Linked DNA regions of Drosophila melanogaster. The protein of the gene in region 2 interacts with the protein of the main gene of each other region in a biochemical or structural test. Each region holds a gene or a part of one and is shown on either strand. Other genes may lie near its edges.

The links.
Region 1: the proteins of His4:CG31611 (region 2) and msl-3 form a complex in vitro, tested with the Drosophila melanogaster proteins (2 studies listed by BioGRID).
Region 3: of the proteins of His4:CG31611 (region 2) and mof, one has a biochemical effect on the other in vitro, tested with the Drosophila melanogaster proteins (3 studies listed by BioGRID).
Region 4: the proteins of His4:CG31611 (region 2) and Sfmbt form a complex in vitro, tested with the Drosophila melanogaster proteins (3 studies listed by BioGRID, with this or other methods).

Annotation. Positions count from the first base shown.
Region 1 is NT_037436.4:7,119,804-7,127,067, reverse strand, and holds msl-3 (male-specific lethal 3), read left to right. Parts: upstream 1-1,534; 5' UTR 1,535-1,645; coding exon 1,646-1,747; intron 1,748-1,864; coding exon 1,865-2,043; intron 2,044-2,109; coding exon 2,110-2,667; intron 2,668-2,725; coding exon 2,726-3,222; intron 3,223-3,277; coding exon 3,278-3,362; intron 3,363-3,417; coding exon 3,418-3,535; 3' UTR 3,536-3,855; downstream 3,856-7,264. Other genes in the region: BBS1 (Bardet-Biedl syndrome 1), read right to left, coding at 1-799, 863-1,142; form3 (formin 3), read right to left, coding at 4,111-6,053, 6,116-6,249, 6,318-6,885, 6,941-7,264. UniProt on the Drosophila melanogaster protein: Component of the male-specific lethal (MSL) histone acetyltransferase complex, a multiprotein complex essential for elevating transcription of the single X chromosome in the male (X chromosome dosage compensation).
Region 2 is NT_033779.5:21,424,093-21,429,713, forward strand, and holds His4:CG31611 (histone H4), read right to left. Parts: upstream 914-5,621; 5' UTR 858-913; coding exon 546-857; 3' UTR 501-545; downstream 1-500. Other genes in the region: His2A:CG31618 (histone H2A), read left to right, coding at 1-71; His3:CG31613 (histone H3), read left to right, coding at 1,158-1,568; His1:CG33804 (histone H1), read left to right, coding at 2,983-3,753; His2B:CG33908 (histone H2B), read right to left, coding at 4,160-4,531; His4:CG33907 (histone H4), read right to left, coding at 5,608-5,621. UniProt on the Drosophila melanogaster protein: Core component of nucleosome. Nucleosomes wrap and compact DNA into chromatin, limiting DNA accessibility to the cellular machineries which require DNA as a template.
Region 3 is NC_004354.4:5,872,429-5,880,428, forward strand, and holds mof (males absent on the first), read right to left. Parts: upstream 4,426-8,000; 5' UTR 4,325-4,425; coding exon 1,841-4,324; 3' UTR 1,412-1,840; downstream 1-1,411. Other genes in the region: GAA1 (glycosylphosphatidylinositol anchor attachment 1), read right to left, coding at 1-590, 651-828; Usp30 (ubiquitin specific protease 30), read right to left, coding at 5,002-5,119, 5,178-5,377, 5,618-6,894, 6,949-7,030. UniProt on the Drosophila melanogaster protein: Histone acetyltransferase that catalyzes the formation of the majority of histone H4 acetylation at 'Lys-16' (H4K16ac), an epigenetic mark that prevents chromatin compaction and constitutes the only acetylation mark intergenerationally transmitted.
Region 4 is NT_033779.5:13,169,490-13,180,253, forward strand, and holds Sfmbt (Scm-related gene containing four mbt domains), read right to left. Parts: upstream 7,268-10,764; 5' UTR 7,180-7,267; coding exon of another isoform or gene 7,048-7,179; exon of another isoform or gene 7,045-7,047; intron 6,981-7,044; exon of another isoform or gene 6,934-6,980; intron 6,894-6,933; exon of another isoform or gene 6,734-6,893; intron 6,464-6,733; 5' UTR 6,325-6,463; coding exon 6,178-6,324; intron 5,877-6,177; exon of another isoform or gene 5,788-5,876; coding exon 4,950-5,787; exon of another isoform or gene 4,738-4,949; intron 4,453-4,737; coding exon 3,154-4,452; intron 3,077-3,153; coding exon 2,827-3,076; intron 2,762-2,826; coding exon 2,250-2,761; intron 2,177-2,249; coding exon 1,824-2,176; intron 1,296-1,823; coding exon 963-1,295; 3' UTR 160-962; downstream 1-159. Other genes in the region: CG43925 (uncharacterized protein), read left to right, coding at 7,048-7,179, 7,268-7,399; CG5439 (uncharacterized protein), read left to right, coding at 7,762-9,324; Alg7 dolichyl-phosphate N-acetylglucosaminephosphotransferase, read left to right, coding at 9,989-10,134, 10,194-10,335, 10,398-10,611, 10,672-10,764. UniProt on the Drosophila melanogaster protein: Polycomb group (PcG) protein that binds to the Polycomb response elements (PREs) found in the regulatory regions of many genes.

The DNA.
Region 1 (7,264 bases), on a different chromosome or scaffold from region 2:
TCGACGAGGTAGCGCTGCAAATAAAACTTGACCACTCCTCCTCTAAGGGCAATGGCCACCAGGGTGAGTCCCAGATGGGTCAAGGGCAGCGGTAGGAGGCAAACGGGTAGATCGGACATGGGCACCTGGTATAACAGCTTGCCCCGCTTTGAGTAGCACAGATAGCGATTGTCCATGGTGGAGGCGATTATCGTCTGATCGATGGGCAGCAGTAGGAGGCCGGTTAGGGGGATGCCGAGCTTGAAGATCTCCTGTCCCTCCGATTGGCTTTTCCGCAGGAGGTAGACACCGCCATTTCGCGTGGCCACCACGATGCAGAAATCCGTCTCAAAGGTTCCCTGCACGGAGATCAGGCTCGGCACGGCCGTCTCATCATCGCAGGCCTTGCCCTGGTAAACCAAATTGAAGCCCTGCGGCTCCAGGATCATGATGTGCCCGGTATCGGTGGCCAGGACCAAGTGGGACGGGGGATTGGCATCGCTGGAGATGCGCTTTATGCAGCACATGGCCACAATGTTGCCAACCCGACCCACTGGGGAGTCCTTGTGCGTGGCAATGAAGTGCTCCCGCTCCTGCTCGCCCATTTGCAGAAGTCGCTGCGATTTCCGCGACAGCTTGGAGTGGTCTATGGTTTTTAGGGAGTCAAGCAGGGCGGGATGGGCACTTGGCTTCACAACCGGCAGTTTTCGCCATACCTCCAGCTCCAGATCCTCGGAGTCCTGTGCGGGAATCGTGTACTTGAAGTATGGCTTTAGGTGACGATAGAAGAGCACTGACTCAGCGATGGCCACGGCAATTACTGGAAAATTGTATTCATTATGGAATCTAATTTAAAAATATTAAAATGCAACGTTATTTCTACCCGGCGTCTTGGGCTCCGTTTCGTCGATGTAGAGACTTTCAATGGCCGCTGGAATCCCCGGCAGTGGCTGCTCGTGCTTGAGTTTAAGACCACGGAAAACCTTCAGCGTGGCAGTGGGCTCCTCGGCGGCATTGTCCAGTGAAATGTCCGCCGCCAGCAGCCGGACATATCCGTCGCACTGCACGTCGCTCAGGGCCATGCAACTGGTGAGGGTGGTGAGATGCGGTGGAGGAGCCTCCTCCGCCGTGTCCACGTGAAGCCAGTTGGGAGCACCGGCCATGGCAGGATCTTGGTGAAAAATTTGCAGCACAGTGTGAAAACGAACAGGTGATTCAGGACATGCTTTTGTTTTGGTTTTTCTTGTCCTTAGCAACCGGGATGACAGCACATTTTTTGTTACTTATTTGGGTTTTTTCTTAAAAACACAAAATGATCGTCAGCATTATTCTTAAATGCTAACAGGGTAAAGCTACGTATAACTAAAAAATCATTTGGCAAAAGGTAAAACTGTGATCAAATTACTGATGATAGAAAATTTTATTTAAATTGGCCGCCAAAAATGCATTTTGTCTGGTCACACTTAAGGCCGGCCTGCTAAAGACGTGCAAGCATCGACAGTATGTGTTATCGATAAGTGCGAGGGAATATTCGATACCCACGTCAATTGCTTATCGCAAAAAACATTCGTTATAAATATCATCTCAGCGACGCCAGCAGTTGAATTCAATATTTAACATTTTGTATACATAAGTGACTGACTACGGCCCTATTTAACTGCAAGTAATGACGGAGCTAAGGGACGAGACACCGCTCTTTCACAAGGGCGAGATAGTCCTTTGCTACGAGCCGGATAAATCGAAGGCCCGTGTTCTTTACACCAGCAAGGTAAATACACATGCACACACACACACACGCGCGCGCATTGAAATGTCAAGCAAACGTCGTAGGCGAAGTTTTCACAAATGATTTTCCGTTTCCCGCAATTTTCCGTACATGCCGCAGGTGCTAAACGTCTTTGAGCGCCGGAACGAGCATGGCCTGAGGTTCTACGAGTACAAGATTCACTTCCAGGGCTGGCGTCCATCCTACGATCGCTGTGTGCGCGCCACCGTTCTATTGAAAGACACCGAGGAGAATCGCCAGTTGCAAAGGGAGCTGGCCGAAGCTGCCAAGCTGCAAATGTAAGATAACCCCCTAGACATGCGTGGAATACCTCTCTAACGAGTTCCCCCTTCTTTTTCGCACAGTCGTGGTGACTACTCCTACAAGGGCACACCCGATAAGCCATCGGCCAAGAAGAAACGCGGCGGAAAAGCGGCCCACGTTGAGGAGCCAATAGTGGTTCCAATGGACACGGGACATCTTGAGGCGGAGCACGAAATGGCGCCCACTCCACGAGCAGCGGGCAACCGGACGCGGGACAACAGCGGTGGCAAGCGAAAGGAAAAACCCCCGTCCGGAGATGGCCGATTAAAGGGAAACCGGGGCAGACAAACAGAGACCTTTTATAACAATGCCATAAATGATGTATCGGTCTATAACCATGTGCCACAGGAGGATCGCATTATGATGCGAGTCAGCGAGCGATTGCGAGAGCTTATAGAGTACGATCGGAATATGATCAAGGTACTAGGCAAACAGCACGCACTGCCCGCCCGCGTGCCCATCGTGACCATCATGGAAAACTTCGTCAAGCAGCAGGCCGTGGAGCTAGCCATTAGCATTAAACAGGACAGCTCGAGGGCCAGGAACACGCAGAGTCGCAATGCCAGAATGGAGCGGGAATACGATCGCGTTATGTCCACGTTGGTTACCACTCAATATCAGACTTAACAACCCACTTATACTCTTACTTATTAACAGTGTCTGCATGCTGAAGGAGGTGGTAGACGGATTGCGTATCTACTTTGAGTTCCACGTGGATGACCACTTGCTGTATACGGAGGAGAAGGAGTATGTCCACAACTACCTCACAGACGACAACATGCGCAACTGCAGCCTAATATTGAACAAGTCGTACGAGTATATCAATCCCAGCGGTGACACGGAACTGATCGGTCTGGACGGCACGCCAGTGGTAGAAGGGTCGGGCGACACCAATGGACAGATCGGAGTTATTAATATCGGCGGTCCGGAGTACGAGAAGCAGTTGCAAAAATGCCTGCTCTACATTGTTACCGCCAGCGGGAAAAACACTGCGCAGGCCTATGAGAGGACTTCCCCATATACGGCTGCCTACAAACTGCCCGTGGAGATGCGTGGATTTCTGAACGAAACATTCAAGTGGCGGCTTTTGTCAGCGGAATCGCCGCCAGAAAAGTCCATGGTCTTTGGCGCTCCCCACCTGGTTAGGCTAATGAGTATGTACAATCTTTCTTGCATTCTATAACACACATTAATTCATGGTACTTGCAGTTAAAATGCCCATGTTCTTAAACGCATCGCCGATCAGCAACAAGAAGCTAGAAGATCTACTTCCCCACCTCGACGCCTTCATCAAGTAAGTCTAAGACCCCTCCCTAGTCCATCACGAAGCTAATCTGTTGGTTTTTCAGCTACTTGGAGAACCACAGGGAGTGGTTCGACAGGGAAAACTTTGTTAACTCCACTGCCCTGCCCCAGGAAGATCTGCAGCGGGAGCTGTTGGACTCCCTGGATGGGATTGCTGCTTAGCTTTAGTTGATCGTAGTTATCTAGTTTATTTATTATTACGATTAAAGCTTATGCTCTTTTATTTAAAGATTTGTAATTGTCGTTTTGGTTTCTTCAACTACACACTTTGTAAACAACGCACTTCTATAAAAAAGTTTCCTAATGTGATCGTATAATCGAATAATGCCTATAACTATATATGTTAAATATTGAAAATACGATTTTAACATTTTTTTTTGTTTTTTTTTTTTTTTTTGCTTAACCTAAGTTTTAGTTGAGTAGTACATGCTAGTATTTTTGTCATGCCTTGTTTTTTGTGCTCAAATATATTTAAGAGTTGGAAAGTTGTTGTCTTTTGTATTAAGGATTTGCGGACCTTGAGTTGGAATGTGCAGGGAATTCTTAAGATTTGTATAATTTCTCAAAATATTGCAACTGTAACAACTATGTGTGTGCTGATTTGTGTTTCAGATCCTGCTTAGAAATTCGAAATTGTCGCTTGGACGGCTTGGAGTTGGATGCATTCGCGTTTGTAACATGTGTAAACTTGGGACGTTAACTTGGACGATGACTGAACTGGACTGGACTGCCGGCCCTCACTTCTGTCGCTTGGTGGCACTGCTGGCCGTGGGTCGCATGAAGCTGCTCACGGATCGACTGCTGCTAGTGCTCCTCTGCTGCGGACTGGGGTTCGCACTCATCCTGGCCTGCTGCTGCTGGTTCAGGGCATTTTTCACCAGCACCACGCTGCGAGCGGCGCTCATTCGGGACTGTGACTGGGGTTGGGACTGGGACTGGTTTTCCTTAAAACTGGTGCTACCATGGATACTCGATTTCGGAGCCGTGTTGGACATCTTGCTGCGCACCAAGATCACACTGGGTCCCACACTCGACCCGCTACTGCTGCTCCTGCTGGCGGGGACTCCACGTCCCTGGGTAGGTCGCAGATTCTGGGCGGCCAGTGGTCTTTTGCTGGGCGAGGAGTCAACGGACACAGTGGCTCCCGCTCGCTGAACGGCGGGCAGTCGTCTCACTACAGTTTGAGTGGAGGCTCCACTGTTGATGGACGATCGCGAGGAGCGCAGACTGTTTCTCGAACTGCTCCGCTCCACGCCGGCTAGAACCTGTTGCTCCTGCGGCGAGCGTCTCACAGTGGATGCGGATCTCAGCGGAGCTGCACTGGCCAACGGCTGACCGTTGGGCATGCGCAGCGGTCTGCTGGCGGAGAGGCTCCTCTTGACCGTTGCAGTTTGGGTGGCAGGGATTTGGTTTTGTGACTTGCTGGCTGCCGATCCTGAGGATCCGGAACTCTTCATCCTGGCCTGCTGCAGGCGATCGGCCAACCGACTGCCCATCTGGCTGATGCTGGTGGTTGTGGGCTTTTGCTTCTGCATCGGCCGCTGGCGGGCAGGAGTCTCGTTTACACCCTCGTTGCAGGAGGAGTTTGTGCTCTCGCCCTTTCCGTGAGACGGAGTGTCCGACACAAGACTCTGAGTCTCCTCGAAGCCTTCGTCATTCAGTTCGTGGTGACCACTGGCGGACAGTTTTAGCTTGGAGGGTGTGATATCCCGTGGCGGACTCCAAGGTCGTTCTGGAGTTCCCGTGGGTGATTTAAGATTCCGAATGGCCTCCCTTACATCCTCCTGATTGATGGAGCTTATGTGGCGACCCACCTTCTCCAGCTTGTTGATCGTGCGCTCCTTCTGCTTGGACTTCTCGGGTGCGGGTGGCTCTGGCTTCGATGGAGAAGTCTTTGCCTCTGCTGTGCTGGTGGTCAGCGCCTCCTCATTGCCACTGCTGTAGTCCGTGGGTCTTTTGTAGCGTCGTGTGCGGCGAGCCAGGGCATGGCGATCGAAGTGACCCGGCGCATCCTGTTCCGCTGGGTTGATCTTCTCCTCCGTCGCAGCCTTTGGTTTATCCGTCATGCTCACCGTGACCACTGTGGTGGTGGGCGTGGCTATGACCCGTCGGCTCACTGGTGGCGTCTCTATATTATCCGCATCCACGTCCTTGGAGGAGCCCTGCATCTCGTTTTGGGTCTTGTGGTGACTGAGCAGGCTGGCAAAGGTGTCGTCGGACACTTGTGGCTTTGGTGACTTGGGTGGCAGTGGATGCTCCTCCGTTTTCGCAGGCTGCAGTTCCCGGCTGGAGGATCGCCTGATATAGATTTGCAACCGCTCGTTGCTCTTGTCCCTTTCACCCTGTTTCTGAATAAGGGACTTTCGACGATCCTCCTCGGCTATCGATTGAAGTGCTATGGGACTCGGCTGTTCCTGCGATCGCTGTCGGCGATGTTGACGCAATGCATCGTGCGGCTGGGCATCGGCAATGGCCTGCAGATTGGCCACCACGTCCGTCTGCTCCAGCGTCCTCGAGGGCTTCCAGTCGGCATAGACGCGCTGATATTTGCCGGACTCCTGATCCATTCTATTAGTGGAGTTAGTGGGATTCGTGGTCGTAGGCGTATTCGTTGGCGTAGCTGTCGTCGTCGAAGGCAGGATCTTCTCCTCCGGCAAGGGGTCCAGTTTTCGTTCGTTTTCTGCGAACATAGAATATATCTAAGAGATCCATTTGGTCCTGAGTTTGTGAGGGGCATCTTACCAGTTTCGTTTTCGAGCGATCGCCTATTGGCGTTGACCAGACGACGCTTCCGCCTGTACTCCTCGTTTTGCTTCTCATCGCTCTCGTTGGATTGAAGCCACGTCTCGATCTTCTGGCGCCACTCACGGGATATTCTGTAAAATGTAAATGATAGATAGATATATAGATAGATACTATAAGATACTTAATGTGAATCTCTTACCTTGGTTTCGCATCCTCGTTATTAGATGGCGTCTGAGCAATCGCCGATCCACTGCCCGTGGGCGTATTCGCTGCCGTTGTGGGCGTTCCAGCTGTACTGGCCAATGGAGATTGCAGTCGCTCCTGGACATTTTGCTGCTGCTGCTGAAGAAGAGGAGCCGGGGAGCTGGCCCGTTCACGATCCATGCCAAAGTCAATGTTGAGCAAATCGGGTCGTTTGCGACTGGAACTTCCGGAGCGGGCACGACGAGCCCACGAGCGATCCAAGCTGCCGTAGGCCGCCTTCCGCTCCCTGCTATTGTGTCCATCGTGGTGAGGACCCGTCGAACTCCGAAGGAACTCCATCAGGTCATCCTCCTCGGCAAGAACTCGACTACGCCGACGCCTCAGACTTCCGTTGGGTGTGATGTCCGGAGAGGCTCCGTCTTGTTCCAGGCGGATGAAACCATTGCTGATCTCTCCGGATCCCAGGTGGCGGCGACTCAGCGCCGGACTAGCCCTAGGATCGAAGATAGCATCGCCCAAGAAGGAATGCTCCGAGTCCGAAACTGGCGTTCCAGCCTGACCAACTGCAGAATAACTAAGTAAGTAAATAAATTTCTTTCAAGTAGATGATGCACTTACTCTGTCTGGCTCTGCGGGCCAGCTGCTCCTCGCGCTGCTTCCTCCTAAGCGTGGCCTGTTGCTCCTGCTGCTGGCGGCGCTCGTTCTCCTTGACCGCCTGCTTGAATTTATCACAGAAATTGTGGAAGATCTTGAAGCACTCCTCCAGCCGGAAGGTGGCCGCATCGTCGCAGAAGAACTCGGACATTTTGAGCCGCATTGACTCCACTTGTTTCATGCCAGCTTGGAGGACGGATAGCTCGGATTCGGCGGCCTGCAAAAAGTCGGCCATTTGCTCCTTGATGTCCACATCCGTGGCAGGTTGTTCGATCTGTCTGGCTATTC
Region 2 (5,621 bases):
TTGCACAAGGTGGCGTGTTGCCTAATATACAGGCTGTTCTGTTGCCCAAGAAGACCGAGAAGAAGGCCTAAACGTTTCAAAGGCTAAGCTAAAAACCTACATGTACATAAAATCGTCAATCAAACCGTCCTTTTCAGGACGACCAAATTATTACCAAAGAATTGAAAAATTTTTTAGCTTGGCAATTTGTTGTAATTAGTAAATCATAAAGAATTATTAACGTAAAGATGGTAATGTAGTAAGGGTTTTCTACTATATGCGGTATAAACTATAATTTGCTTCTTTAAACAATCGCACACCACGATGTGATGCTGTACATGCGGTGTCTGAAACCATTTGTACAGTCTGTACAAATCCATGTTAGAAATACACATTCTATTTAAAAGAGTACGAACGACAGACATTTATTTTTAGTTTAACATATTTTTTGGGAGTCCCGACCAATAAAATTAAATACTTTTTGAAAATCTTCCTCCTTTTAAAAACTGAATGGTGGTCCTGAAAAGGACCGATTGCTTAATAGGGGTACACAGGATGTACACTTTTTAACCGCCAAATCCGTAGAGGGTGCGGCCTTGCCTCTTCAGAGCGTACACAACATCCATGGCTGTAACTGTCTTCCTCTTGGCGTGTTCCGTGTAGGTCACGGCATCACGAATTACGTTCTCCAAGAAAACCTTCAGAACGCCACGCGTTTCCTCGTATATGAGTCCAGATATGCGCTTCACACCGCCTCGACGGGCCAAACGGCGGATAGCAGGCTTCGTGATACCTTGGATGTTATCACGCAGCACTTTGCGATGACGCTTGGCGCCACCCTTTCCCAAGCCTTTGCCTCCTTTACCACGACCAGTCATTTTTCACTGTTCTATACTATTATACACGCACAGCACGAAAGTCACTAAAGAACTAATTTCAACGTTTCTGTGTGCCCCTATTTATAGGTAAAACGACAAAAACCCGAGAGAGTACGAACGATATGTTCGTTCGCTTTTCGCTCGTCAAATGAAATGGCCTCCGTTTTTCTCTCTCTCTCTCTCTCTCTCTCTTTCACCGTCCACGATTGCTATATAAGTAGGTAGCAAATGCTCTGATCGTTTATTGTGTTTTCAAACGTGAAGTAGTGAACGTGAACTTTAGTGAAACCCAAATCGGAGATGGCTCGTACCAAGCAAACTGCTCGCAAATCGACTGGTGGAAAGGCGCCACGCAAACAACTGGCTACTAAGGCCGCTCGCAAGAGTGCTCCAGCCACCGGAGGTGTGAAGAAGCCCCACCGCTATCGCCCTGGAACCGTGGCCTTGCGTGAAATTCGTCGCTACCAAAAGAGCACCGAGCTTCTAATCCGCAAGCTGCCTTTCCAGCGTCTGGTGCGTGAAATCGCTCAGGACTTTAAGACGGACTTGCGATTCCAGAGCTCGGCGGTTATGGCTCTGCAGGAAGCTAGCGAAGCCTACCTGGTTGGTCTCTTCGAAGATACCAACTTGTGTGCCATTCATGCCAAGCGTGTCACCATAATGCCCAAAGACATCCAGTTAGCGCGACGCATTCGCGGCGAGCGTGCTTAAGCTGACACGGCATTAACTTGCAGATAAAGCGCTAGCGTACTCTATAATCGGTCCTTTTCAGGACCACAAACCAGATTCAATGAGATAAAATTTTCTGTTGCCGACTATTTATAACTTAAAAAAAATAAGAACAAAATTCATATTCTATTATTTATGGCGCAAACGGTACTGGGTCTTAAATCATATGTAAAAATACTAATTCTGCCAGAGAAGGAATAAAAATAATCTTATTTTAATTGTCAGCTCAACATTTATTAAATTAAAGAAGAGGTTAATAAATATAAAATATATATAAAAATATATATTTTTATTTGTTCTTTGTGCGAACATCCTTTAAAGCAGTGAAAGTGTCGTGCGGGGCAAGGGACTCTGAACCTTAAACATCTAAAAAAAAATCTGAATTCTGTGTAAGACAGTTTGAAATTAATGAAATTACATTGATGACGGCAATATTTATAAAATAACAGAAAATAATAAAATAAAACTAGCTATTTTATATTTTTTCCATGTGTTAACTGAAGAAAGTGTTATTATTGAAGAGGTCGTACGGGACAATTGACACTGTCCCTTCAAACGCCTGTAAAAAATAAAACCTATGTAAAATTCAGCACGGAAATTGGCTAATTTTGTTGCGGAATGTAATATATATTACATAATAAAGGATAATACAAAAATTGTTTCTTTTTATTTTTTATTTGATTTATTTATTTGACTACATAGACGGTAATGCATATGTGGCGAGGAAATCGATTGATTTCAGAACAAATTATTTTAAAATATGCATGAAAACACATTAATAACAAGCAAACACATTAATAATTTAAGAAAATATTATTTATTATATTAATATTATGTTATTTAAGAAAGTATCTGTATTTTTAACGATCGAAAATTATTTCTGAATGCTGCTTTAAAGCAAATTTTTCTGTAGTTCAATGTGAACTTAAATCAAGTAATAAAGTATCTTAATTAATAATAGACGCTTCTTTCAGAAGCCCTTCTAGGGGATGAACGTTTCAATTTTAATAAACATAACGAATTAGTGAAATATTTGCAATGATTCTTATTTTATTAGATGTTTTTTTATAAATTGGTCCAGTTAAAAATTTGAATATAAAAATTCAATCAACATTTGAAAGTCTCAAAACCCATATTACATCCTTTTAAAAATGGAAAGTGACGAAAAAATTATTTAAAAGTGTAGAACTATTAAAACCTTATTTTTATTAATGATTTAAAATACTAAAAAATTAATAAAAGTTTACACTTCAAGCAAACTTTGACATAGTAAATGACTGATGTCAGTAGCATTGTTAAAGTGCTCTCCTCCTCGATTCTCATCAGAGCAAAGGAGGTTGGTAGGCAGCGCGCGAGCCATTTTTAACAGAAAAAAAGTGTTCTCAGTGAAAAAAAGATGTCTGATTCTGCAGTTGCAACGTCCGCTTCCCCAGTGGCTGCCCCACCAGCGACAGTTGAGAAGAAAGTGGTCCAAAAAAAGGCATCTGGATCTGCTGGCACAAAGGCAAAGAAAGCCTCTGCGACGCCGTCACATCCGCCAACTCAGCAAATGGTGGACGCTTCCATTAAAAATTTAAAGGAACGTGGCGGTTCATCACTTCTGGCAATCAAAAAATATATCACTGCCACTTATAAATGCGACGCCCAAAAGTTAGCGCCATTCATCAAGAAGTACTTAAAATCGGCCGTGGTCAATGGAAAGCTTATTCAAACTAAGGGAAAGGGTGCATCTGGATCTTTCAAACTGTCGGCCTCTGCCAAGAAGGAAAAGGATCCGAAGGCAAAGTCGAAGGTTTTGTCTGCTGAGAAAAAAGTTCAAAGCAAGAAGGTAGCCTCTAAGAAGATTGGTGTCTCCTCCAAAAAAACTGCCGTTGGGGCTGCTGACAAAAAGCCCAAAGCTAAGAAGGCTGTGGCTACCAAAAAGACTGCCGAAAATAAGAAAACTGAGAAGGCAAAAGCCAAGGATGCCAAGAAAACTGGAATCATAAAGTCGAAGCCCGCCGCAACAAAGGCGAAAGTGACTGCAGCGAAGCCAAAGGCTGTAGTAGCGAAAGCGTCAAAGGCAAAGCCAGCGGTGTCTGCAAAACCCAAAAAGACGGTGAAGAAAGCATCGGTTTCTGCTACCGCCAAGAAGCCGAAAGCGAAGACTACGGCTGCCAAAAAGTAAATTGTGAAAAAGTGCAGTATTTGGTACATGTTCGCAATTGAAATTTTAGATTTATGATTTATAGATCTGAAATTTGTTTAAACAAGTCCTTTTCAGGGCTACAACGTTCCGTTGCAAGAGAAAAAAACTTTTATTTTCTTCCACTTATTTATTAGCTGACGTTCGCAGCAACAATAAAACGTTTCATGTCATGAATTACATTGAATGTTGGTCGCATTCAGTTTTCGTTCCCGATTTTTTTGTATTTATTTGAACATTACCCAATTACCCATATTGCGGGTAAATAAGTTTTATTTGTAAATTCATATTCGATGATTGGTGGTTGAAAAATGCATTTCTTTGGTATAACACATTGTGGCCCTGAAAAGGGCCGTTTTGGATTATTGTCCGCATTCGCAGGAGAAAATTATTTAGAGCTGGTGTACTTGGTGACAGCCTTGGTTCCCTCACTGACAGCATGCTTGGCCAACTCTCCAGGCAAAAGCAGGCGAACAGCCGTTTGGATCTCCCGACTGGTGATGGTCGAGCGCTTGTTGTAGTGAGCTAGACGAGACGCTTCGGCAGCAATTCGCTCGAAAATATCATTTACAAAGCTGTTCATTATGCTCATCGCCTTCGACGAAATTCCGGTGTCAGGATGGACCTGCTTGAGAACCTTGTAAATGTAGATGGCATAGCTCTCCTTCCTTTTGCGCTTCTTTTTCTTGTCGGTCTTGGTGATGTTCTTCTGAGCCTTGCCAGCCTTCTTGGCTGCCTTTCCACTAGTTTTCGGAGGCATTGTTCACGTTACTTATATTTTCACAAACACAATTCACTTATCGTAATGTGGGCCCGAACGCGTTCACGTTTATACTTTTTTTCGAGCAGTCAATTCAGGTCTAAGTCACCCACCCCTAACTGAATGCGCAGGCAAACGGAAAAGTATAAATATTTCGCTGTCGGGGTTAAGCGAGCATTCTTGTTCCGTGCGTAAAGGGAACTAAGTGAAATAAACGCGAAGCAAAATGTCTGGACGTGGAAAAGGTGGCAAAGTGAAGGGAAAGGCAAAGTCCCGCTCAAACCGTGCCGGTCTTCAATTCCCTGTGGGCCGTATTCACCGTTTGCTCCGGAAGGGAAACTACGCATAGCGTGTTGGTGCAAGCGCTCCATTTTACCTAGCTGCCGAAATGAAAATCTGGCCGCTGAGGTTCTCGAGTTGGCTGGCAATGCTGCTCGTGACAACAAGAAGACTAGAATTATTCCGCGTCATCTGCAACTGGCCATCCGCAACGACGAGGAGTTAAACAAGCTGCTCTTCGGCGTCACAATTGCACAAGGTGGCGTGTTGCCTAATATACAGGCTGTTCTGTTGCCCAAGAAGACCGAGAAGAAGGCCTAAACGTTTCAAAGGCTAAGCTAAAAACCTACATGTACATAAAATCGTCAATCAAACCGTCCTTTTCAGGACGACCAAATTATTACCAAAGAATTGAAAAATTTTTTAGCTTGGCAATTTGTTGTAATTAGTAAATCATAAAGAATTATTAACGTAAAGATGGTAATGTAGTAAGGGTTTTCTACTATATGCGGTATAAACTATAATTTGCTTCTTTAAACAATCGCACACCACGATGTGATGCTGTACATGCGGTGTCTGAAACCATTTGTACAGTCTGTACAAATCCATGTTAGAAATATACACATTCTATTTGAAAGAGTACGAACGACAGACATTTATTTTTAGTTTAACATATTTTTTGGGAGTCCCGACCAATAAAATTAAATACTTTTTGAAAATCTTCCTCCTTTTAAAAACTGAATGGTGGTCCTGAAAAGGACCGATTGCTTAATAGGGGTACACAGGATGTACACTTTTTAACCGCCAAATC
Region 3 (8,000 bases), on a different chromosome or scaffold from region 2:
CTTGCCGTTCAAGCCCTCTATTCGCACATCCACATGGTCAATCTCCAGATCCTGAACTTCAATATTCAGAGCCGCTTGCAGCGAACCAGCGCGAGCGGGCAAATTGCCAGGACGCAGGTACGCCTTGCTCAAGTCCAGTTCCCGGTCGCCATCGTGATAAGCCTCCAGCCAGGCCTGCATGCCCAGCTGCTCCTGTTCGGTGATCAGGAAGATCAGATCCTTCGCCCAGTAGTTCTTGCGCCGGGCAAAATCGGCGAAGGCCAGCAGAAGCGGCACGCTGGCGGAAATGTCCGTGTGCACGGAACTGGCAGCGCGATATGGAGCCGCAAAAACGATGCCCTCCGTGGAGGCAATTCTTGGGGCCCTCAATATGCCGTAGATATTCTTGCCGTGATACTCTTTACCGCCGCCAAATGGGTAGCGCAACGTGTAGTTGTGCGTGTGCGTCTCCAGGCCGAACTCGTTCATCTTGGCCGCAATCCAGGCGTGCGGCGTGGTGGACAGATGATCCTTTCGCTCCCGCTGCAGCTCCTCCAGCAACTGGATGGCCAGACGATTCGCATCGATGCGGATCTCCGGATAGACCAAGCCTACAATAGATCACACCAATTGTTAGCGGCTCTCTTTTGGTGACGCTGCACGTAACTCACCTGGCGAAAGAGCATTCTCGGAGAGATATGTCCCGTGGTTGAACTCCGGCAGCGCCAAACAGAAGAACCAGGCCACACCCGCCACATAAAGGGCGTAGCACACCTTGCGAACATGACGCGCCAGTCCGTCCACCAGCTTGCTTTGCGTCGATATCGACGGATCGGACAGCAGGCCCATTTTGGCTGCCCTATATCCTGTATATATCCCGAATCACAACAACACGAATCGGACAAGCCGGCGGAATTGTATCGATGCGGGCGTTATCGATAACCTCGATAACCGATTGCTTATGACGCTAGGGAGGAGAGGGTTAGCAATGGATTTTAATGCTCGAAATTTTAAACTTGTTTTTCCAATGTTTTCGATATTTCTATATATATTTTTTATTATATCAAAATATACATATTAAGCTAACCTACAAGAAATGTGTTGCAAAAATAATGAAAAGAATAACCTGTCGTTGTAAATATTTATTTAATTTTTCCTCTTTTTGACGTTAATGTAACGACGCATTTATTTGAGAAAGTACATCATGTTCTCAGATTGGAGTTTTTCTTTTTTACAGTTTAAATCATTTATTATTGTTCATTAGTCAGTAGGAATCGTTCAGTTCTTTCTGAACTTAACCTAATGTGTAGCCTAAAAGATATTATGGATTCTCTTCCTTAATTATAGTGTATAAAAATGTACCGTGGAGAGATTATGCTATCTTACGTGTAAGGAGTTCATAGAGATGTATTCTCTTCAGGCGTCGGCATATCGGCTGCTGTGGAAGTTTATTTGGTTTTTAACAAGTCCAGAGTTTTTCGAGATAAAGTAGTTAAAGATATATATTTCAAGAACACAGAAGTTTTTAAAATTTTTAAATGGTTGTTCCAAATTCCCTCTCCAAAAACATTAGCCAAACGAATTAGACATTTGGTTCTATCATTAAGAGTTACAACAGCCTATCCGTAAAACTCCTTAACTATAAAAAAAAAAAATTGTAAACCAAATGTTAAGTATTACATTGAACCTTCTGATGGTTCCATTTAGATATATGACTATACATTTTTCGTTTGGAGGGGTGCAATAGAATAGCTTATTCCTACGCTTTCTTTAAAAAAAAATAAAAAAAAAAAACCTAATCGTCATCGTCAATAACAATTATATGCGATGATAGCAGAACGGGGTCTCCAGGTTCCGTATGCTAGCCGGAATTTCCCGGAGCTCTGACCACTGCCGCTGCAGTTTGCGGACTCCAGACGAGGTAATCGGTGTCGATGGTCAGCTTGGGCTGCTTGAACTGCGGCAGCTGGAGGTGGTCTTGAATGGTCTTGGACGTAACGCAAATGACATTCTGGCCCTTCCAATACTTGATCATCTTCATGGACTGCAGCGTGTAGATAATGTCGTCGTGGGTGATGCCACTCATTTCGCTCAGCTCCTTGATTGTGATCTGCTCTGGAGCGCAGCGGGTTTTCATCAGCTCCAGCAGCGTGTATGCCCAATAGCTGCGATAGCTCAGCCTACCCAGATCCGAGAGCGGTTTCTCCGGACTACCGATTACGCCCTCCTTGCGCGACAGCTCATAGCTAAAGGCTATTAGTAGCTTTCCAAATCCCTTACGCTGATGCGGCGGCAATACCAGAATGCAGGCCACGTTGTAGTTTTCCAGCGACTTCTTTTCCTTGGAGAAATAGCCCACAATGTGACTGCCCTCCTTGTCCGTCTCGCAAAGGATGTAAAAGAGAAACGGGTCCATGTCGAAGTATAGAACCTTGTGGTCCAAAAAGAGCTTGGCCATCAGACACAAAAGTTGGCAGTATAGTGACTCCTCCTTGCCGTTCACCTCGTAAATGGATATATTGCCCTTGCGGTAGATCTCTCTTCCGGGCGGACGCCTGCGGTCGCATTCGTGCAGATGATAGGCATAGCTCGACCTGAAGCGCATGTACTTTAGGCAGTACTCGCAAACATATAACGTACGTGCCTTGCCATATTCTTCGGGGAAGGGACTAAAGTACCAGGTGTCGATCTCGTAGTTGCCAAACTGCAGCTTATCAATGTACTTGATCTTCGTAATGGACTCGTGCTCCTTCTCCAGCGCCGCCTGCGTGGCGGTCAGCTCAGCGTGGCTCTTCTGCACGTGGTTGATCTCATCGTAGCGCCGCTTCTGGTAGCGTGTCATCTTGCGGTCGCTGTAGTCATAGCGACTGTTCTCGCAATAGGACAGATAGTAATCCTTGTTGGCCGCACGCTTCTGCCGTTCGGATGAGGCAGCTGCCGCCGCGGCGGCCTGTTGGGCGAGCATTTCCCTGCTAGTACTTGGCTGATCGGGGGCTAATGGTGGCGCTGGCAGCACGGTAATACCGCCCAAGTCATCCGCATTGTCCGAGATCCTATGCCTGCCCACCCATCCGTCCAGGCGGCGATTGAGACCAACATAGTGGACGTAGTACTCATCGGGAGCGGCCGCATTCTCAGTGGTGCGAGACTGAAGCACCTGGCCACGGTGCACGGTGCCATCCTCGCGCCGAATAAAATAGATCTTGTCGGGATTTTCGCTTATATCGATCTTTTGCATCAGAGGGTCACCTGTTGTGATGACCGTCTCCCTGGAAGTGTTGTCGTGCTCCATGGTCAAGGCATCATCTTCGTCCTCCTCTTCCTCTTCATCGTCATCGCTGCTGCTAGTTTCGCTGCTGTCGTCAGAAATGGCCTCAACGTTGGCGCTAAGTACGGTTTGAATGGGCAGAACTACGGCTGGCGGCGGCATGTTGCGCTGGCGAGGATCACGCGGCGCCAGGCGGGTGGGCAGGCCAGGTGTCGATTCCTGCATGTAGCGAGAGCGTATGTAGGGGGATAAATATACTGCTGGTGGTTCCTCGCCGTCATCTGTGGGCGAGGCGGGAGTCTCGGGGACTTGTTCCGCTGCTGGAGGAGGTGGTGGTGGCGGTGGGGCAGCCAATGGCAGCCCCAGTTGTTGTGTCCCTTTGAGATGAAGAGGAGCTGGAATGGTAACCACCTCGGTGATTATTGCATTGGGAGGAGCATCGGGATCCATAACGAAGTCGTCAATGTTGGAACCACTGCCGTAGGGGTTGATGTCGGCCACGCAGATTACCGTATCGGAGGAGGGCTCATCCTCGGTTTCAATTTCCTGGTCCACCACCTCTTTCTGCTTCTGCGGCTGCGCGGGCTCCTGTGCCTCCAATTCAACTGGACCTGGTGACTTCACCTGATCCTGACCGTCCTCCTTCTTTTCCTCCTGCTGCTGCTGCTGTGGTTGCTCCGGCTCGGGCTCCGGTGGTGCCTCCTCCGCCTCGCTAACATCGTCGTAGCGGGAGGAGCTGGACGACCTGGTGGAACTAGTCGATGTGCTGCTCGCCGGCGTGCTGTCCTCCGAAATGGGACTGATGTCGCGATGCTGGCGCTTCGCCGGTGGCTCTGACTCCGCCGCGGCCTCCGCTTGGACACCGCTGAGGTCGAGCGACTGCTCCGCCGACTGATCCGAGCCGCTGACGTCTAGACTGGCGCTCAATTCGGCCGCCGCATCTTCAACCGGCGTCCTCGGCGGACCGCCAATTGTGTACGCATCGGTTGGCTCCTGTTCCGGCTCATGCTCCTCCTCAATCGGCTGCTCCTGCACGTGGCCCGCGCTGGGTGTCTGTTCCAGCTCCGCTTCAGACATTCTTAGCCACTAGATTTGTCCAATTGCGTATTTTTGTTCACTCTTTAGGGAAATGAAACGAAATACGGCGTGAAATGCAACCCTGATTTATCACAACATGTCCAGATAATCGATTATTAATCGGTGGTTATCGATGTACAATACTTTGCACCCTTTTTGAAATTACCCTTCTGGATTTTTCTGTGCATTCAGTATTATAATATATTTTATTTATCCAAAACCTTCAGAGAAAGCACTTTAAAAAATTGGAACTGATTTCGAAATTTTTATTGAACATCTATCCTACAGAATTAACGCGCAAACAATTATTGGTAGTTGATTTGTGTACATTGCTAAATACAGACAGCTAAAAGCACGGCATGAATTTGGAATTCTTAAAAAATCTTAAATGCATAGATAACAAATGAAGAGTCGAGCTCTCTGTTACGATAGGGAGTTCCTATATGCAATAAGCCGTACACAGAGTTTGGATTATGCGGAGACCATTACATGAACCCGCCGAGTATAGGTCAGATCATCGTGGGTTCCCGTACTTATATGAGTTATGTATATATATCTATATAAATGTGACGCGTGTTTGCTATGGCCACCGTTCGACGAAAAGGATTTGGTTTCGGATATTCATATTCATCACATCAAAAGTATGGACTAGAATAATACCGACGACCTACACCTGACTAGCGCAGATTTAGCTGCCTCTGCTGGCCACGATCGTAGAATAAAAGATAGGCGGGGACGCTCAACACCTCGTCGATGCTCACCTCCCGCACAATTGTATCCGATGTGTAGTACCACCTAATAAGGATAGCACAGAATTAGCATAATTATTACACAGAGGCAATGGAAACCATACCGATGTGCGTTCCGCAACGAGCCACGCCTGTAGGTTACAAAGTGACCGCTGTTTGCCTCCCCGGAGTGCACCACCACGGCCAGAAGCCGGTAAAGATTCTTGGGGAACATCGTGCCAAAGCCCTCGCCACCACCAACGCCATTGTTCATCGGCAGGCTGGAGGAATACAGCGACATTGTCGAGCCCCAGGGAGTGCCAGCCTGTAATCATGAGCAAAAGTGTTTGTTTTAACAATATGCTAGTTACTAAATGTAAACAGTTCTTGAATTGAATGCCACTACTCTTTGTACACCAATTAGAAAAGGAAAGACCTATATTCTATAGATATATCCTATACATATATATCCTTTAGATATATGTATTTAAATGATCATATATAAGGATAATTTTTACAGGGGAAGTTTGTTATTCTGGGGCAAACATATGCAACACACGCTCACCTGGCTATTGAGATGCGGCTGCACGAAGCTGTAGGGCGCCATGGAGAGGCTCTCGGGGAAGTGTACATAGTCCTTCCGCTTGCACACCTGTCCAGTTGGCAGCCACACCGTCCGCGCCACATGGATGCACAGGCAGGCCGGTAGTTTAGCGAACGTAACCGATTTGGTGTGCGTGGTGGTCTCGTTGCAGGAGTCACACTTGACATCGCTCAGATCCTCCGATGTGATATACTCGCTAAGCAAGTGGCCCAAACTCAAGCCAGTTCTGCGTTGCGGCGGCAGATTTAGCGTTATGCTGTCGAACTTATCGTACCGAACGGCCGACTTGGAGCCGCAGCCATTGCACACGATCTGTGCGCCCATGGCGCCCTGAAACGGATGCGCCACTTGGCTGGGCATCATGTTGGACCAGATGGACACCCGACCTGGTCCGCGATGCAGGCGCTCTAGCGATCGACAGGAGCTGGACACCCGGCGATTCAGACCCTCATCCTGCTGCTGTTGGGATTGTGGAAGTCGCGGTCGCGACGAACGCTCGCCGCCCAACATAGGCGTAGCCAAGGAATCCGGATTGCTGACGAGCGGAAAGCCAAAGGGTGTCCCTGGCGAAACGGCATCCAGAAGCACGGATCCCAGGCGATCGTTTCCGTCGCGTTCGCAAACAGAGGCAGGCGAATCCGGTGTGTGGGCCTCGGAACGCACCAATCGCTGCAAACTGGTGCTCTCATCATACTCCATGTTTAAGAAATCAGTGAGCATGGCACTGGAGGGCCGGTTCGGTTGATCCCCGATCCTCTGGCTGGCTCCCAGTCCCGCTGCCATGGAGCTAAATGATCGAAAGCCCCCTACTGGCGTTGCTGTGCCTGCCAAGCTGCTGTTATCATCGTTATCCGTGGGCAGAGCATCCGACAGACAGCCGAGGGGCTGTGGTCGTATGGCCTCCTCCTCCAGGCAGGTCAATAGCACGTGGAACAGCTCGTGGGCGTCGTGCTCCTCCTGTGGAATCACCCAGCCCAGGGCATTCAGAGCCCGGAGAACGGCTCCCGGTGAATAGGGATCGCCGCGCAGAGTGGCATGGGTGCCATTGACCACTTCCAGAGTGTTTAACATCGACGTAATTAAGCTTTTTCGATCCGGCGAGGCGTTGTTGTACAATTGCAGCCAGGCAATGAACTGGGGACAGGCGGCCATCGCCTGTAGCAGGGTGTTTAGGAAGCAGGTCAGTCCAAAGTTGTGGAGACCGGCAATTTGGCCGCGTCGTTGACGCAAACGGGAACCTGCAAATGTTTCGCTGGAGTAGGGAACTACGCCATGGAAGATCTACTACTCACCCGAAGGACCCCAGAAAACGAAGGCTCCGACTACGGCGGCTACCGTCACTCCGGCGGCCATTAGAATCTTCTCGCTCTCCATGGCTTGAGATTTCCGATGGCTGGTTTTCCGGTGCAGATCACTGCGGTACCGGGAACTCCCAATCCCGCCGCCAAAATCGCACACAGACTAACTCTAGTTAGGAATTTAGACCGAAAAAATTTTTGTGTCTCTTGATGTGTTGCAAAGCGATTCAGTTGTTAACACCACAACGTGCGGCCATTACGCAACACTGGCGCGCAATTATCGTTAAATTTGCAGAGAAAATCAAGTATTTTAAAATTCAACCGAATCGTTGTACATGTGAATGTTTCTACTATAAGCATTAAACAAACATAAGTTTGACAGCTTAAATTTGTAAACGTAGAATATATTTCCCATACTATTGTATCGTCTATCGATAGCGACGATTTGATCAACTTTCGATAGGCACCTCGAACAGCTGTGTGGAAAGGGGATTGTAATAAAGGAAAACAAAGTAGGCACAACAACCAAAGTTTTCAATCGAAACGGAAACATTCGGATATCAGTCGTCGTTCTTAATAGTTCAGATTAGAATAAAAATCCTCCTGGAGGAGCATAATTGAGTGAAAATTAACTGCAAAATTTGTCTGTGATTGTGGAAAGTGAATCAGCTGTTTGGGAAAAGTAAAACGGAATACTCTGGAACCTTCTCGTCGTTTCTTCCTATTGTAAGTATTCGGATTGGCTTTCATCTTGTTTTAATGCAGCCACTTTGCATCGTCCTTGTGTCTATTTCCCAATTTTCCAATTTTCCCCAGCTGACTTGCTGCGCAATAGGAAAAGCAACAACAACGAAACATAAATACATACACACACATACACACACTCGCATGGACCTAATCGCTTCTGTTTTTGTTGCTACTTTATTGCGCCGTTTGTTTATGTCGTCTATTCGCTGCGTGGCCGTTGTGCAATTTGCTCCCATTTTCCACATTTAATTTTGGAATCTGTGCCACGCAGCTTGCCAAATTACATATTCTAGAAAATT
Region 4 (10,764 bases), 8.3 Mb from region 2:
GCAGTAAGAATTTAGTCTATATGTCTTAAAAGTGTATTAATATCCAGAATATAAACCAATCTAAAAAAAAAAAAAACAGAAATGAAAATGAGTTTTGACTGTAGAGCACATATAAACCCAAAGAAAACCAACACATATAAAAGTTAGTCGGCGATATTTCAATACTTGCAATTTTGAATTCGGTTTTATTAAAGTATCTTGACATTAGCTGGTACCTTAGGGATATCTAAATACATATTTTATCATTAAGGTTGCCTTCTTCAAAAGTTTGCCTTACACCAATAATGCCCTCCTTGCAGAGATGTGTGACACCGGAACGAAGTTAACCGAAGGAGAGAGCGGCTAGTTAATCGTGGATCTTACAGACTAGGAGCGACTTCCAATCGCTCCGTTTACGACTGAAAGTTGAGGGCATGCTGCCTGGGTTATTTGCTTGCGCTTGCTTCTATATAAAATATGATATTCTTGGGTCCTATATAATCGGCGACGGCTTATTTTATGTACACTGTACAAGCCCATGCTATGCAATCTCCCCATATATTCATGTGAATACATGTGTTGCATGCATTGTTATTACTCTTATTTTTATAAAAATATGCGTGATTTAAAAAAAGTCACTGTCATCAATTCAATCATCTTTATACAATTGTTGATATAGAACTCTGACTGATATAACATGAGCGTACGCCTAAGGTCTACGGTTTACAATTTAATCGGTATAAAATAACGCGCTGTGAGACTTGAGTTAGTTATACAATTGTATCATGGATGGTTGATCCATTCTAGGCAACGTTTGTGTTTCGATTTCCAGTGCTAACAAAATACTTCAATATCTATATATCTATATATATATATATATATATTATATATGCATACGCAGTAGTGTACACGTATAAAAGTGTGTGTGTGTGTTCTATCGGTGATAACTTTCGTTTTGCTTTGAAAAAACTAAAATCCGCGCACTATAAAAACGGTGATTTGTTGGTCTTGTGGGATCTGGCTCTGCCCGGATTAACCTTGCACTTAAGCTGTGCAATAAGGTCGGAAATTTTCAGTGCTGGGCCCACCTTCATGCCCAACAGTGGCATGATATCGTCCTTGGTCAGCTGCAGGAGTCGCTTTCCGTCGATCTTGTTCCGGCTGAACGTGTCACAGTGGGCTGTGCAATCGTTCACCCGCAAGAACTGGGATACGTCGTACACGTTCCATGTATCCGGCACCAGCTCCAAGTGAGGTTCACTCGAATCGATGTCGGCCAGACGCGGAATGTACTTATTATTCGTCGCAGAGGAGTTCTATAGTGGGGTAAAAAATAAGGACTTAATTAGTTAACGTATGATGTTGCATTGCTGGTTGGGTGTGTGACGGAACGATTGGATGTCGGTGTGTTGGGGCTATTGGGGCTGTTGCAAGTACCAAAAATAACAGTGCGTAAATTAAATTATATACAAATTGGCGTTTTATGAACGATTTGATTTTGGTTATATACATTTATGCAGTTGTGTTACGGAGCTTTAGCACAGTGGTTTAAGTTGGGTCGGACAATCTATTTCATATGAAATAACAAAAACTTAAGCTAAACAAGGCAAACTTGGATTAATATGGAGTATTTTGGTGTATAAGCTGATGCTTCTATTTCGAAAAAAAAAGGCAAATAAATTAAAGGGGAATTCCTCTAAATAAAATTTAATTAATGTTTAAAACAAAAACCACTATGCTCTTTGGACCTCCCGTTTAGATGCGTGAGCTGAACTTCAGGCGGGCAAGCAGGCTGGCTGGCTAGATGGATGACTCTACGCACTATTATTCCGCTAAGTACTCACCGCAATGTAGCTAGTGGCTTTGCGACCCACAGTTGGTGGCGCAGGAGATTTAGTAGTAGATTTCTTTACCGTTTTGTTACTGCCCGTGGCGAGAGTTACCAGCGAGGCGGACCCACTTCCACTGCCCGATCCAGCGATCAGATCACTGGACGACTGTGTCGTTGACTGCTCGGAGATGTGGCTGGTGCTTCCGTCTCCATCGCCATCCGCATCGGGATCCTCCTCGTCGCCTTCCTCCTCGGGCTGATTGTTCTCGTAAAAGGCAGCATTGTGATGCTCCGGCTTTAGCTCCAGCTTGATGCTCAGCTTGGGTAAGTGCGGCGTGGTCTTGAGCGCAATTGTACGCGATTTGACTGGAATAACATTTGAAGATGCATGATGATATACAGGAATTCGAATGACTTTGATTAGAAAAAAAAAACTTACCCGACTGAGTATTATTATCGGTTGGAGTTTTGCCTCCCGCTGCTCCCTTTTTGGGCTTTCGCTTTCGCTGTATTTTGGGCTTTGGTGCCGGTTTCGGGGCCTGCTGATGTGCTACTCTCGGTGGGCCCTCTAGCTTATGGTTGACCAGTACACACCATCCGACTGGATATATATCGGCTGATTCGCAATCCAACCACTGGTCGTACTCATCCGTCCATCCGTCAAAGTGAACCTTGAGTAGTCGACCAACCACTCGCGCCACCGTGGCCACGCAAACGAGTCGGGGATCCATGAGATCTGCACACTCCAGACTCATACCCACCTCAAATCCATGATCGGGAATAATCCGATGAAATAGATGCTGGCCAGCGGCTACGGCTCCCGTGTCGCGGAGGTAACCCTCCCAGGTGAATGTACGAGAGTCGTAGCCGTTCGGTGGGGTAACCGAAATGTTGTTGACGGAACAGAATCCAGCCGGAAAGATACACGGACTCTTTTCATGGTAACAGAACCTAAAAAAAAATACAACAGAAGCTATTTAGATTTGCCGACTTAAATTGAAGCTTTTAAAGCTCACCAATCCGACCCTGAGGCATCCGGTTGGTAGGAATCAATGCGTATCATCATGTATCCGAACTTAAGAACCGCCATTACTGTAGCCGGGCATATGGATGAAAGGTTGAGTGGATCCACCGCTTCCAGCTTCATGCCCTCCACAAAGCTATTGGTTTTGCCGTCACTGTAGTATTCGTCGAAGGTGAAGTTCATCTTAAACAACTCGATTGTGGCATCGTCCTCATGAACCTCAATCATGGCTTCGCGACCAGCTGGAAGTAGGAATGGTATGTAAAATGTTAAAATGGTAATGTAAAAACATGTATGCAGAAAAAGTAAATATTATTACCTAACATGCGCTCCAGATAGTCCTGCGGTGCAGCCAGATTATGGCCTACTGTGGTTGCCCAGCCAACTGGATGGATGATGGGCGAGTCCTCGTGACACCAAAAGCCGTCGTCGGAATCGAAGTAGCGCAGGAAGAGGCGCTTTCCCACGATTTTGGTGACGGTGGCCAGGCGCACCTGCGAAATGCGATCCTTGTCCACGCACTCGAGATTCAGGCCAAGGCGGAAGCGCGACTGGAGGCTGTCGTTGATTTTGTTGTAAAAGTTGGAGGGAAGGGTGCGGGCTCCGGATAAACGTCCCACCAGAAAGTCCTTCCAGTCCTTGTACTTGTGCTCGATGGTGCGGGGCGGAATTAATGGCTTGCCCCGAGTGGCGCACCAACCCACCGAATGCACCTCGGCATTGCAGAGGTTCACCCAGAAGTCGTGCGAGTCCGTATCGAAACCCTCGTAGCTCATTAAGGCCTTATAGCCTTTGATTTCCAGGATGGTGGCCACCCAAAACGAGGTAGGAGTCTGACCCGGTTGGATCACTTCGATGCTATCGCAATCCGTATTTTCCACTTCAACCTTCATGCCCACGCCCAAATTGTCCCATACCTCGCAACCGGGTGCATGAGGAAAACAAGTGACGGGTGCCGCATTGAAGTTCTCCTTGCTAAGGCGGGGCAACCAGTCGTAGGAGTGTGTGGGATCATACATGCGCCGCCGAATGCTGATTATCTTCTCCATTTGCGGACACGGTACGGGAAGGCGCTCGTATTTGGGTATTTGCGGCAGGTCATCCTGTGGGTAGATGTCCTTAAAAAGTCGCAAGGCCTTGGGCGTGGGTGCTGCGCTCAGATAAGAATTGGGTGTGGATGCACCCTCCTCGGTGCTGCCCGGAGCAGTGGCATCGCCCACTGCTCCGCCGTTTAACGCAGCAATTGTTTCATCTGCTGCCATTTGTACATTATTGGCAGCTGCGTCGCCGCCCATTGACATGGGTTCGCCGAAGCTATTCAACTGGGTAATCTTTGATTGATCCGTAATGCGAAAACGATAATTCGCATTCTTAATGTGCGCCGCATGCAGATCGAGCTCAATATCCGACTGCGACTGTTGCTGATCGCCAGGCAAATCGGCTGACTCCGAACCCGCTCCAGGATCCGGGGAACTAGTGGTTGCCTGGTCTCCCTCCATCTTAGTGTTAAGTACCAACGAATATAGTTCGCCTCGGGCACAGGCCATGCTGCAAAAACGTCGCGATTTTGTGTAGAATGTGTGCTTCACTCCAATGGCGCCACAACGTTTACAGACAGCTGTAGAAGAAGAAAAAACGAATCGTTTAAGTGCATATTAATGTAAACGTTAATTTCGTATTTAATTTAAATGCTATCATGGTATACAAACCCAAATTCTTGCAAAACAAACCCAAAACCATAAAGATAAGTGAAACTAAGAGTAGGATTTAAAATAAAAAGCTTGAAAATTAATATCGTGTAGAGTGGATCGATTGCAGATTTACAGGTGGTTTTCATTGTTTAAATAAACGAATCATTACTAATTACTTAGAAAGAAATAACTATTTACTTTATCAAATACATAAGCTAGTAGACAGAGCAAGCCTTGAAAGATTGTAAATACAAGGCAAAGGCTTTTGGAATTTTAGATAAGTTCAATGTACATCAAACTGATGATGTTTAATAATATATGATCTCAACTAAGATCTCTACCACTTATCGTTACTTATCGTTTACTTTTCTGCCCGCAATGTTCTAATTAAGAATCGACCCACTCTAGTGCACAGCAACCTTACCCATGCCATCTTTCTGTATGGGGATCACCGAAGGGTCAATGTTGCCCCTGTAGGCGATGGGTGTCTTCAGCACCAGTCCTGGCCTGTTAACGGGCTCGATCTTGCGCGTCTTGCGCTGTGATCGCAATGCGGAGGACGTGGAGGCACTGCAGGTGGCGGTGGTTGCGGTGGAATTGGCTCCCTTGGCCGTACTATAGGTGCGCTGCATTTGCTTGCTGGATGTGTTTTCAGTGCTGACCATTATGTTGCCAAAGGCATTGCCATTTAGCGTACCCATCGCAGGGACCAGAGTTGTGCCCAGCAGCTTGTGGTGCAGCAGGCCATCGGGCAGTGGAACCAAAAGATCGTGCTCGACTCCAGGGACGCCCAAGCTTCCGGGCATCTGTGCCATGCAGGAGGAGGAGGACTGCGAAATGTCCTTATCGGAGGAGGTCATAAAGTCGGTGCCATCGTACGAATTATTGTCCTCGTTCATCATCACAAAGTCGTCGATGTTGATAATCTCTTGCTTGGGCTCCAACTCGGATCCATTATCATCAAAGTTATTGTCCCTCTGACCGTACACTTGGTCGTCATCGTCCACGACCGCCTCCATGGCCATGCCAACCATGCCGTTCTCCACATCGTTATCCATTGCCTCCGCATAGTTCTGGAAGACTGCCGCCGCCGCCGACTGCTGGAGCAGTTGCTGCTGCAGGCCGCCCATGTGGGCAAATCCGTACAGGTTGTTCGAGTTGGTGGCAATCAGGGTGCCCGGCTGTACACCCAGTGCCGCAGCAGTCGCCGCCGCTTGACCAGTGAAATCTCCCCCCATTAGGCTCATCATCGGATTCATGTCCTTTTTTTGAGCATTGTGGGTTTTGGAGATTGGAGGTGGTTCGGGTTGAGGATCGACCATTGGTTATGTGTGTTTTTGTGTCGAGATTTAAATTGTAACCAATATATAAATCAAAGAAAAGAAAGTAGAAGAAATAAGTAAACAAATTCCAATTGTTTATAACTGAGACAGACAAAAAAGATAGTTTGGAAATTTGGCCAATCCCCAAGGAGTACACGTTGAAACCTAAAGAATTTGGGTTTGTTTTCGACTCCGAGGACTATCAAATATAATGGGGTGCCTTAGTGATAGACACGTATCTCGTTTTCGCGATGCTCATTTGAAAGCATTTTATATTTATTAGTCTTCGAATTGAGAGATTGGCTTCTGAATCAAACCGTCTGCACTCACCAAAGTTGGCTGATGGGCGGAGAGGTCCTCCATGACAGAGAGTCCAACAGTGGGATGACCCAGCAGAGTGGCCGCATCCTCCAGTGTAATGCGCTCCGAGTTGTACTGACTACTCATCCACATCATGCGCAGCTCGGATGGGTTCATTTTAAGCCAATGGTGCTATCGATTCCGGATTGGTCAGTATGGCAAAAGCATTTATGGGACAGCTTTCTGGGTTCTCTTCAAAAAGTATTGCTTTCTACTGCTGCGTGTCGCGTTCCTTTGTTTTTCGAACTCGCATTGACTGAAAACAAACATTGAAATAGTTTAGTGTTTTGAAATAATAAAAATTGGTCAAGATGGGGCGAATTTAAAAAGTAAATCCCTATTTATTCCTATCTAAAAACTACGTAGTTATTTACTTAGTACTTTTTAAGCTGCCTGCTAATTCGAATTTTTAAAAGAATATTATGTTCATATTTAGAAATCTCCGTATCTATTTGACGCTGATTGCTAATCTTGCTGCAATTTTATGGACAATGCAACATAGAATGCTCCCAGTTTGTTTGGTTACGAATAGCTCCTGGAACCGGCGAATGTTCCGGCCATATGGGCTGTAAATCCTGACCGAATCCCAGTGTTCCTCGTTGTTCGTTTTGTTTGCCTCCTTCTGTTCCCGTTTTCCTTTTTTTTTCATTCTACTTTTGCCTTTTCTGCACGCAGATGCTGCGCGGTGAGGGAAGCGTACGGAAATGCGATTGAAGCCTGTCGTAACGGTCGGAATTTCAGCCGCCGCGTGGAGTTTCACACAACTGAATAAGGTTCGAGCATATATCCGATTTATCAGAATTTTTGGTTACATTTCATGGGTTCAATCTCGAAAAGTCAATGAAGCGTTTGCGCAGACAGCCAACGCGAACAGAAAAGAAAATTTACGACGTTGCTGCCCCTGGATGCAAACTTACACTTTTGCACGTTGGACGCGTTCGGATTGGGTTTCCCCAGTTGCTAGCACTTGCGGTATGACATATTATTGGATCTTCAATCGTTTAACAATAGTTTTTAACAGATTTTTGTGTGCTAACTTCTTTCGCATTTGCGCGAGCAGGGATGGCAATTATACGCCAGGGCTACACAGTCGCACAACAGCGTTTTGGCATTATTTTGCCCGCTAAATCACCAGGGATGCACAAGTGGTCGCGTTCAGCGAGAAATAATGCAGAGTGATTGTTATCGATAAGTGTACAATACTGCTTATCTCAGTAAAAACACAATTTTAATCGAAATCGTTGTACCTTACCAATATGAATTGGAGAAATTAAGCGCTTTCAGTTATAATTGGTTTGTTTTGATAACGCAACCTATAGTTTTATAAGTTTTTTAGGTACCATAAATTATTTACAAACAATTTTTTTATTTTAATAAATCACCTAATGCTGAGTCACAGTCACTTAAAATCATTAATCGGTGATCTGAATGCGCCCATTCCAACGCTTATCAACACTGTTTGGCTTGTTTTGTTGTCAAGCAACCAGTGTTGGCACACAACGGAGTGAGAAAAATGAGTAGAAAATATAATTAGTTGAATAATAGCCACAAATAATGCCAGAAAATGCATCCAGCTCGATGCCCACAGAGGCAGGCTTCCGGAGCATGCGCAGCCAACTGGCGGGCAGCACCTTTGGCCAACGGCGCGAGGACATCTTTCGACGTCTACAGGAAAGTGCGCATAAAATCTCACAGAAGTTCAGTGGCAAAGAACTTGCCACTGAGCGGGATGAATCTGTTCAGGAACTGTGCGAATCCCTCGAGGAACTAATGTCCTACGGACTTAGGCAATCGGCAGGCACTTCCTCCTTCAGCGCCGCCAGCTTCATCCAGAACATGCAGGAGATGGTGTCCGGAAATGCGGGCGGAGGCAGCAACAACAATGACGCCACTTTCTGGGAATTCTGCCAGACGCATTTGACGCCCCACGAACGTCAGAGGTATATGGACCTTAAGCAGATCTGGACGAATGTGGGCAGAGGACGTGCCTTCATACGCGCCACACTGAACGAGAAGCGACTGCATAGCCATGTGCTCACCTGGCTGAGCGACGAGGAGCAGCTGCATCGATTTTACACACCTTGGTCCCTGCTACTCAACGATGAGGCGGCCAAGAAGCTGCCAGAGATCGTAGACTCCCTCAGTGATGTACTGTTCGCCCTCAATGTGGACACCACTGAGCTTAATGCACCCAGGAGATCGACGCCAAGTGTTGCCGTCAAAGAGGAACCAATTATATTCACCACCAGTCCAGTGCCGGTGGTGGGACGCCAAAAAAGACCTGGTATTGCGGTGGAACGACCCATTGAGTGCGTTAGCTCCACAGAGGATTTACTTGGTGCTCTAAAGCCCATCGAGTCGGTGGAGGTTCAGCAAATACTCTCCAAGGAATCCATCGAACAGGAGTTAGCCCAGCCACAGGAAGAAGTCAACTTGGGTCCCTTCGACCCCATTGAACCCGAGCTGGAGTTTCTCAAGACGCCCTTGCCAGACATTGGCGCGCATGTTGGAGAGTCAGAGCTCTATGAAGACCGAAGCGACACCTCCTCGCAGTGGAGCAAGTCCTCCTCCTCTGCCAATTGCTTGGCTAACAGCCAACAGCAAGCTGCGCTGGAAGAGCATGTCAACCAGCTAAACGAAAGATGCGCTCTGCTGGAAACCCGTGTGGCGGAGCTTAGTCTTCAAAATCGCCTGCTTATCCGAAGGCTAACCAAACAGTTTGAAGAGACCGGCATCGACCCCAGCTCATCGCTGTGCTCCAATTTCCTGATAACCATTCCGCATGTAAAGCTGGCAAAGACACAACGATCTGGTTCCCACTACACTTACGAAGTTCACATCACGATGAGGCAGCGTTTGGAGCACTGGACGTTTTTCAGACGCTACAGCGAGTTCTACAAGCTGCACAAGTCACTGCTTAAGACCCATCCGGTGGTCAGTGCCGTGGAGTTTCCACCAAAGAAGCATTTCGGCAACATGAACCTGGTCTTCGTGGAGGAACGCCGCCAGCAGCTGCAGATTTATCTGCTCAATCTGGTGGAGACCCTGCCGCAGGTGGAGGCCTGCAAGTCGAAGGCGGAGCTGCAAAAGGTCTTCCCCTTCTTCAGGGATAGGTAGCAATCTTTACCGAATCCAAATTGACAAAGGAAGCTCGAAAAGAACAAGTATTCGCAACATATTTTATCTATTTCGTTGTAGATATCTTTATCTATATGTGTAATAACGGAGTTGGTCCAAGTGTTGTAATCATTGATATTAAATAAAGTTAAGCCTTTTTCATCTAGTAAAGTGTTTTTACTTTCAGTCTTTAAATTTTTAACGATCTCTTGATTTTAGAAATACTATAACATTTTCTAACTTTGATATGTAAGCGAAATTAAATTAAGATTATTGCCGACTATACAAATTAAAAACTATTTTCACTAAGGTAGGTCAAAATAAAATTAAATTCATTTGTGGTATTTTATATATGAATAATTTAAATTAGTAAACTAAAATCAGCTGTTTGGTTTGTCTAACAGTCGAAAGTACGGGCACACTAGCCGCCGAACAGCTGAGTTTGTTGTTATCAGCAATTTGAGTTTCAATTGCGTGTACTTTTTTTTGTCGGCGTAATTGATTTCTGCACCATGATCGAGTGATCGGCTGGTTTTCCGCGGCCTCCCACTATCCCAATTGAAACAGCGCACTCCGTACGCGTGACTCCGGCAAATTTGCTGCGCACAGAGCTGCACCAGCTAATTGAATTAGTGCAGCGGAAGGTGGATTTTCAAGGCCGACCATGTCGGGAGTCGCCATAGCCATCAATGCGGCCATTTCGGGCGCCGCCTACTGCATGACAGTCCGGATGATACCCCGCTTCCGCGAGATGTTCATCAAGGCCAATCTCTTTGGCAACGATCTGTGCAAGAAGGACAAGCCGCAGGTGTAAGTTCGCTCTCCTTTGTTTTGTAGGTTTTCTAACTAAAACGCTTCCTAAACTCTAGACCTGAATCCTTTGGTGTGCTTATTGGCTGTGTGTTCCTGGTGTCCTTGTTTCTGTTCATACCGATTCCCTTCGCCTTCGACGAGGCAGCTGCCACGGATGCGATTACTGGAGGCAAACCAGATACCTTTCCACATGATAAGGTAGCTATCTAATTGATAGATGTCTTTGTGCTCCACCTTATCGGCTGTTATTCCCCACACAGTTCGTGGAATTGATTGCCGCCCTTCTTTCCATTTGCTGCATGATCTTCTTGGGCTTCGCCGATGACGTTCTCGACCTGCGATGGCGCCACAAGCTCCTGTTGCCCACCATCGCCACGTTGCCGCTGCTAATGGTGTACTACGTAAACTATAACTCCACGACGGTCATTATGCCCAACTTTGCAAGGAATCTGATTGGGACCTCCTTGAATATAGGTAGCTAAGGTTTTCCAGAAATGAAAATCAAGAGATGAAACCTATTTTGATTTCTTCAAGGTGCCTTGTACTACGTCTTCATGGGCATGTTGGCGGTATTCTGCACAAATGCCATCAACATCCTGGCGGGCATCAATGGCCTGGAGGTGGGAC